2 linked regions of the Drosophila melanogaster genome follow. The gene in region 1 interacts genetically with each later gene. Each region holds a gene or a part of one and is shown on either strand. Other genes may lie near its edges.

The links.
Region 2: of run (region 1) and ttk, changing one suppresses a phenotype caused by changing the other (phenotypic suppression), as found in Drosophila melanogaster (2 studies listed by BioGRID).

The regions. Positions count from the first base shown.
Region 1 is NC_004354.4:20,688,511-20,692,464, forward strand, and holds the start of run (runt), read left to right. Parts: upstream 1-2,159; 5' UTR 2,160-2,502; intron 2,503-3,954. UniProt on the Drosophila melanogaster protein: Plays a pivotal role in regulating the expression of other pair-rule genes such as eve, ftz, and h.
Region 2 is NT_033777.3:31,712,326-31,715,925, reverse strand, and holds the start of ttk (tramtrack), read right to left. Parts: upstream 2,060-3,600; 5' UTR 1,657-2,059; intron 1-1,656. UniProt on the Drosophila melanogaster protein: Binds to a number of sites in the transcriptional regulatory region of ftz. Isoform beta is required to repress inappropriate segmentation gene transcription and repress genes incompatible with development of photoreceptor cell fates.

The sequences.
Region 1 (3,954 bases):
ACAATATATACCCATTTACAAAGCCAAAAGTTGCAGTTCAGAAGTTAGCGCCGGGGAGGCATGGGAAAGCGGGTTTCATAATAACAAAAGGGGGTGGGGAGGCATTATAAAATGGAGGATCGGTTGGTGGGAAAACGTATTTAATCGAGGACAGATCGACCTTCTGCAGAGGGCGGCCGATGCGTTGAGAGCTAACCCGTTTTAGGCATTTCAAAATTCAGTTTTGTACTCAAAACAAAAATAAACAGAATAAAGAAATGATCCCCTATCAACACTTTCAGTAAATTTAAAATAGGAAAAAACAGGCAGGTCTCGAATGAAAAACCATAAATCACATGATTCGTATTGATGGAAAACTTACTATAAATATCAAAAGATAATATAAAACGATGCCGATGATCACGAAAAGTGTCCTTTGATCAAAAACAGCCCAAAACATAACCGAAGAACCTTTGTTGTGCCAACAAATGTAAACAACTTGCACACTCCTCCGACTTTTCTTTACTGTTTCCCGTTTTTTCGGGAGTTTTTTGTAAACAATTTGTAGGGGACATGTGTAACAATCGCCAGAGATCATTAGGATTTCAACGCCGATCGGACAGCTGCATATTTTCCCCCACCAATTTTCGCCTCTTCCATTTTCCCTTGGCTAATTGTCGCGGGCCCAAAAGAAAGTCCATTCAAAATGGTTACGGATCGTTCCTGCCAAAAATCCATTGTTCTTAAGTAAATAGAGAGGGGCCAAGTCAACGAAAACTGAGGAAATATATATGTATGTGCACACAAGGAGCACAAATGATCGCTGAAAAATCCATGACATGTGTCCCAAGCAATCCAAGGATCCTGGGATTCGGCCAAGATGGAGTAGCGCACACGGGCCAAAGAACAGCTGGCAGTCGGAAAAGTGTGTGGAAAACGGTGGAAAGCCAGCCAATGCATGGCCACCTAACCAAAACACAATTTTGTGGGAGTGTCGCAAAGGCAAAGAATAAAAAAAAAAAGAAAACCAAAAAAAAAAAAAAAAGGAAAAGGTAAAAAGAAAAACAGAAGGAAACCCGAAACACACTCATTCCCCGTTTTTCACCACACGAAAGAAAATAAAAAACACCCCCAGAACGCAGAAAAAAAATCACTCAAACAAGCGTTTTCCAATGGAAAGTGGTGAACCGGCTGTGGTGTAATTTTTTCCGAGGGTTGAATGACGTCGCCAGCGGGGGAGGGGGATGGGGAGGAGCGGTCGGAAGCCGCTGCCGACGTCGCTGCCGACGTCGCTGCCGGCAGCACTGCCAGCGCCACAACCAAAACAACAAACCACAATTCACTTACACAACGCCGCAGCCGCAGTCGCAGTCGGTCCGCTGCCGCCGCGCTGCCCGCTTTTCCGCTTTTCCACTGCTGCCTTTTGTAAATAAAGAAGAATGCGCAAATTGGCGGCACAAATTGTTAAATACACTTTTCAGTATATTTTCAAATATATTCATAACGAAATAATAAGTTTGTTTTCCCTAAAAAAAAAAAACAAAACATTTATGCACGTTTTATAATACTTTACAAATATTTGTTGAATAAATTGATTATTGTATTTATTATAAACGCTTTTGAGCTATTAAAAGATATTTAATTTTTTACTACAAAATATGTTTCATGCTTAAATTAAATAATTTAAATTGAATTTCAGTTTCACTTTATACAGATGCTTAGTTAAAACAGTTTTTCGTCGTTATAATCGTTTCAAAAACGCATCAATATTGTTATTGTTCACTTGTCATTTGAAATAGTTAAACTAACCAAACACCGAAGGGTACAAAAATGTTCCTCGATTGGCAGTCGCTTTTGTTTTTTATTCTCCTGTGGCAGTGAGCATTTCCCCTGCGCCACTGGAATTTCCACGGTGCCAGAGTTTTCCGCTCTCTGTCGGTAATTTTTGTTGGGGGTTCTGGGGTTCTCCGTGGTCAATGGCTCCTGGCTCCTGGGATCCCTGTGCATTCAGTATAGCCTGGATAACGGTTGTGCGAGGAGCTCCATGAGGAGAGGCGGAGCCACGATCGGCGCAGCCGTCTCGTTCTCTCCCATAACGATCGCCCTACTAATAAATCATCCCCTCTTGGATGTCAGCTATTTCCGTAGCATCTGCTCGCCAACGGTTGGCCGATCTCTGCGGTTACCCCAGCCCCTCGAGCGTAGGTGCCTCTCTTTCGTTCGCCTGGTGCCGTCTCTTTCTGCGAGGGGGAGGGATCTTGCGCACGTATATGAATAATTCAACTGATCGCCGTGGTGATTGGGGGATGAACGGAGTACTGGTTTGTCCGTTCCTCGGAGGTGCGGAATGCACAGATCGTAGTTCTGATACCCATTCATTTCGAGGAAATTTATTCAGGAACGTCACGGTATTTGCATAAGTGAAATCGTATCTCACAGTTAGCAGCCTGTATCGTAGATTGATTACTAAAATACTTTTCTAAATAATCTGCACTAAGATATAGTTCAGATTGCGTAAGATCGGTAAGTACAGAAGCTTTTAATCGCACTGGAAGTTTTATTTACCGCTCACGACATTTGCATAGATGAAACCGTATCTTACAGATTCAAGTAGCTTGCGTACTAAACTACTGTACAAAAAATATCTGCACTAAGAAATAGTCGGGAGTGATTTTTTATGGTGAAGTACAGAAGTAAATTCAGCTAATTAAGCCTCGCTCTTTTTTGTTTTAAATTAACTGCTCAACAGCAGTGAGAAAAACATTGCATATATTGAGTACATGAATACAGGTTACTGTCGCCTTAATCTCCCATCGGTTAATCCCGCTAAAAAGCGAAGTCCTTTGAGTTTTTGGTGGCCAGGTAGGCACTTTCCGTATCAGATGCTCGTTGCTTATTTTTTGGGAACATATTTTATGGCCCGTGGCGGCGGCTAATCGGCCAAAATATTTGCGGGGCGTGCTGCTTAATCCGGGCGATTGACTTTCATAAGCAAAGGATTAAGATTGCGCGGTTGGACTACCTGTTTTGAGGTGCGATATCAGTACATGCGATGGTACATCTGAGGGCCAGGTACGTCAAAGCCAGTAAACCCATAGTTTTCCCACTTTTTTGGGGCCGCAAAAAAGCATCGGAGGGCCCATAAAAAAAGGGTTGATCCTTTTGGCTGCTGTGGGCTCGTAGCGAGTTCGGTATGGAGATCAGGTACTGCCTGGTGCTCGGTGATCCCTATGAGGCGGTCCTGCGGGTCCTGCGATGCGCGTGCTGCGGCAGCTCCTGTCGCAAATTGCCAAGGAATCGCAGCAGGATCCAAGAAGCGACGACAGGAGCGCTGATTTCCCGGGAAACCGGCAATCGTCAATCGGCCATCGGCAATCGCGTCCTTGTCGCACGCCCGCTAAACCTGCGCTGTCCTGCCATATATCCCGGGGCTATATGGTGTGAAATCGGTGTAGGGACACGAGGTCCTTCGCAGCGAGCGGCCGCGCACGTACAAAAGGCAGCGCTGCCGATACACTGGATTTACTGGAAGTGTGCGTCTATAATGTCCAGCTGAGAGCGGCGCGTTCTCGCGACATTTTGGTTGGTCTTGCCTCGTAGTTCCCCTACCAGAATGGCCATGCTCCCCATTCCTTCTCCTCCTCCTCCACGCGGTGCCTGGAAGAGTCCGCCACCTCGGAAAACTCGCGGGTCCTGTGTGGCCTCGTTTTTAAGGTTGTTTTGGTGGGCCGCAATTTTTTGGCCAGTCAGGCACTTGATTTGCGTTCCACTGCACGAAATGAGTGTTGAAGGAATTGAGAATATTACTTTAAATTGTCAAGTCAAGTGTCAAGTGTTATTCAGCAGCTCTTAAGAATTAATACACAGTTAATCCATTTTACATTAAGTTAATTAAATCGTTCATATTTCGTTTTTGAAGCTAAGTTTCGTAATCTGAATTACTATCTATGTATGTGCTAATCACTTAGCCAATCG
Region 2 (3,600 bases), on another chromosome or scaffold:
TATTTGTTAAAAATGTTTTAACATTTCTTGCCCTGTGTACTTAAGGGAGAGTGAGAGAAGAATAGATAAGAGAGTTCTGCCTTTTCCTATCCCCCGCTGATATTGCGTATACGCCGCTTGGACTTTTACTGTTTCGACTTTTTATGGGTTTCTACGAGCGAAAACAACAATGCATATGTTCAGATCGCGTTTGCGTTGTTAGTCATGTCATCCTCTTTCTCTTTTCCCTCTTTCATTGCTGCTTTAACCGTTTCGATCGCCGGCTAAACAACAGTTATAATTCGAGCATAATGTTAAGTGAGCGCAAGGTGTTCACAAGTGTCTTTGTGTGTGTGGGGCAAACAAACAGAAAAGCTTTCGCGGAGAGCGGGAAATATATAGTAAAGAGCGCATAGTGCTGCTCTTGTCGTTTCATTAACAAAACAACCGCAAAATTTATGTGTGATCTGAGACTGGGCATTCGTTTCCTTTTCGCCCCAATACAAAGTATAATTCACGATTTTTGTTGTTGCTGCCACTGTGTGAAGTGGGTTAGCGAATTAAAAACAACGACAGAAGTAACAAATAAACATAACATACAAAGACAAATGCAGATCGGAGACGAAGATTGTGTTTTTTGGGCTGTGATCTTGATTTGCATAATTGAATTTGTGGCTTAGCGTGGAGCACAGGTGCAAGTGTAGAGTTGCCCCTTGGCCAGGGTTGTCAGGTTTCCTTCCTCCCAAGAATAGTAACCAACGTATAGAGTTGTAGCTCACTTTAGTTATTGCGATTAAATAAACGTAAAGCCGAGTTACACAATCAATACATTGAGTCCAAATAATTTGTGCAGTGCAAACATGTTGCGTACATGGATTACTCATTCACACATTCACTCCATTGGTTCATTCAGAAAAACACCGCAAGTGTTGCAGCCACTGGAAGCCACCAGAAGGCACTGGAACTGGAAGAGTGATCAAAAGGGGTGCGCCGGGCGAATGACGACTGGATGTGGAAGTGGGGGATAAAAAAGGAAATGGGCAACTGCAAATGACAGAGATCACTGAAGCACGACCGACAAATAAGCGGCGGACGAATCTATGTATCTAGTATCTGGTATCTAGTGTGGCGGCATTACTCCCCATGTGCCGTATACGGCATGTGTGCATTTGTATCTGTGGCTGTACCACTATCTGTATAAGTTGGATACAAAAGCGTCTTTCCAATAGGCGTGTGTTGGTGCATGTACTGAGCGTGTGAGCGGGAAATTGTTAGAAGAAAATGTATCTGCTAGGCTTTTAAGACTGCTAGATTTCCAAAACGACCCTTGGCCAATTTGTCAGGCTTTTATTGCTATAATTCTGTAATCCAAAAGCTATTAACTGCTGATTTTGTCATCAATTGTTTTCGACTCCTGCGATGTCCTGTTTAAAGTGATTAGATTCTAATCCAAAAATATAATTCAGTGAACATTCAAATCTTTAAAAAAATCACTACGGACTCCAGAAACAAAAGCCAGTTAAAGAACTTTTGAATCTTAATCAATAAAATCCTCATCTGAGATTCAAGATAAGTCTTAAGAAGGTAATAAGAATACTTAAACTTGTCGTTTAAATTTGAACACTTGATGATTTGACCTTTTTCGAAGACTATTTCGTGGATAATCTCACCACTTACCAATTTTACAAATATTCTTGGTAATCCGTTTTGCGGTTTCTTCGGCGGAAGAAGGCTTGCAACACTCGAAAGTACTTGTTGTTGTTTCTGTTTCTTCTCTTGTTGTTGGTTACACGTAATTGGCAACCGAGGCGAACACGGAGCCGAAAGCGGGTTGCGAAAAGGCAAAAGGCAAAGAAATCAGCTGAGGAAACGCCGCGCACGAACCTCCAATCAGAACTGAAACGGCAGGGATGTCGACGTCGACGCAGAAGCCATTTTACCGCATTTGTTGTCCCTGAGCTGAGCCCCAAAACCGAGAGAGAGAGAGAGGCAGAACGAGCACCACAGAGAGCCGCTAAGGTGGATACACAAAGCCGAGCCGAAGCCTTACCGAAAGCTTTGATCACACGGCACGAACTGAGCTGGGAATAGCATGGAATATGGGAGTATGGGAATTGGTAGTGGTAGTGGGCGGTATTTGTAGTGCTCCCGTTTCACATTGCTCTCCCGCTCGCAGGGCACCAAAAACGCAAGTGGATGTGGACGGATGAGCGGACGAAATGGAATGGCAAGAATCGAACATTTGAATGGGGCTCCAAATGGTTAAGAGAACAGCGCAGCCGCTGCTGGCAGCGAGAGCGAGGGAGAGCGCAGTCCCAACTTGACATTTCCATTTCGCCGCTGCGTTGGCGCTCTGCCCTTATGCTCTTTCTTCTCGCGCTCTCCCGCTGATAAGCTGGTGTTGAAAACAAGTCTCCTGCGCTCTCGCTCTCTCTCACCGCCGTGACCTGCTGCTCCACCTCTGCGCCCACCACCCCTTCGCTTCTCTGCTGCATCAGCGTATTACGAAATATGACAACAATGCAGTTTGGTCGTCCTCGTTTTCATTCTGCCGACACAGCGGCTGCTTCTTCTTCAGTCCCATCTTCACCTCTCTGCTTGTGCCTGCTCAGCATAAATGCCATCTCTCCGCTCTCTTTGGGAACACCGGAGTATGGAAGAGTGTGAGAGAGGGGGGGGGGGAGAGAGAGGAGAAAGAGAGAGTGGGTGGCTGGTGCTTGTTTGTTATTTTCTCCGCGCTGCACTTGCAAATTGATTGTATTTTAATGAAGTTCTGGTGCCCGCTAAAAATAGTCAACTCTCTATTCAAAGGGGAGGATCGTCGCCGAGGGGCGTGGTGCGGGAATTTCTATCTGGGCGCATTCCAAGTGCAGCAATATATCGGCAGTAACTAATTCCAAATGCCAGCTATTACGACAAACTGGTTTGATCGGAAAAGCGTGCCTCGTATGCTCGACTCTCTTATTCGCTCAACCTCCCACCGACTGCCCCGCCCCCCAGCGCCCCTTTCGAGAACGCTCGCGCACACTTCTAACTGAAACCGAAATGATTCCATGTTTTCCCCGCTGCACCGACTTTAAGTTGAATAATTGTTGCTGGGGTTGCCCTGCACTGAGAGAATTGTTTGCAACGTAATTGTTTCTTTACGTTTTAGAAAATATCGCTACCTTAGATAATATAAACTTTATACACTAGTTTTGCTGTGCACGATGGCACACGTAACCCACTGGTCAACTGCCTGATGGGTCTTGGGAGCGTGTCGCTTTTTGGGTAACCCCCGGGACGGGGCGTTACCTGATCCGATCCCAAGGGGGGCTGGTCGTTATTAGGGCCCATTTGAAGGATCATTAGGCATGCATGGGAAAGACCGTCAATCAATGCGTGTTCTTGGGAAACGGCAACAGTTCCCCGCATCTAAGATTATATATCTGGCATAGATATGGGAGTTCTTTGACTTTGGCACCGCTGATAGTGGAAAAGGATTGAGGGACCAGACTTGGGCGACAGATAAGACATGTCTAGGAAGGCCGTTATCTCTCTCTTTATACGCTGATAATGGAAGCCTTAATCGCTTTCTTTAAGTACAATCGGTTAGTTAGGTTTGGTTTTAAACATATCTAC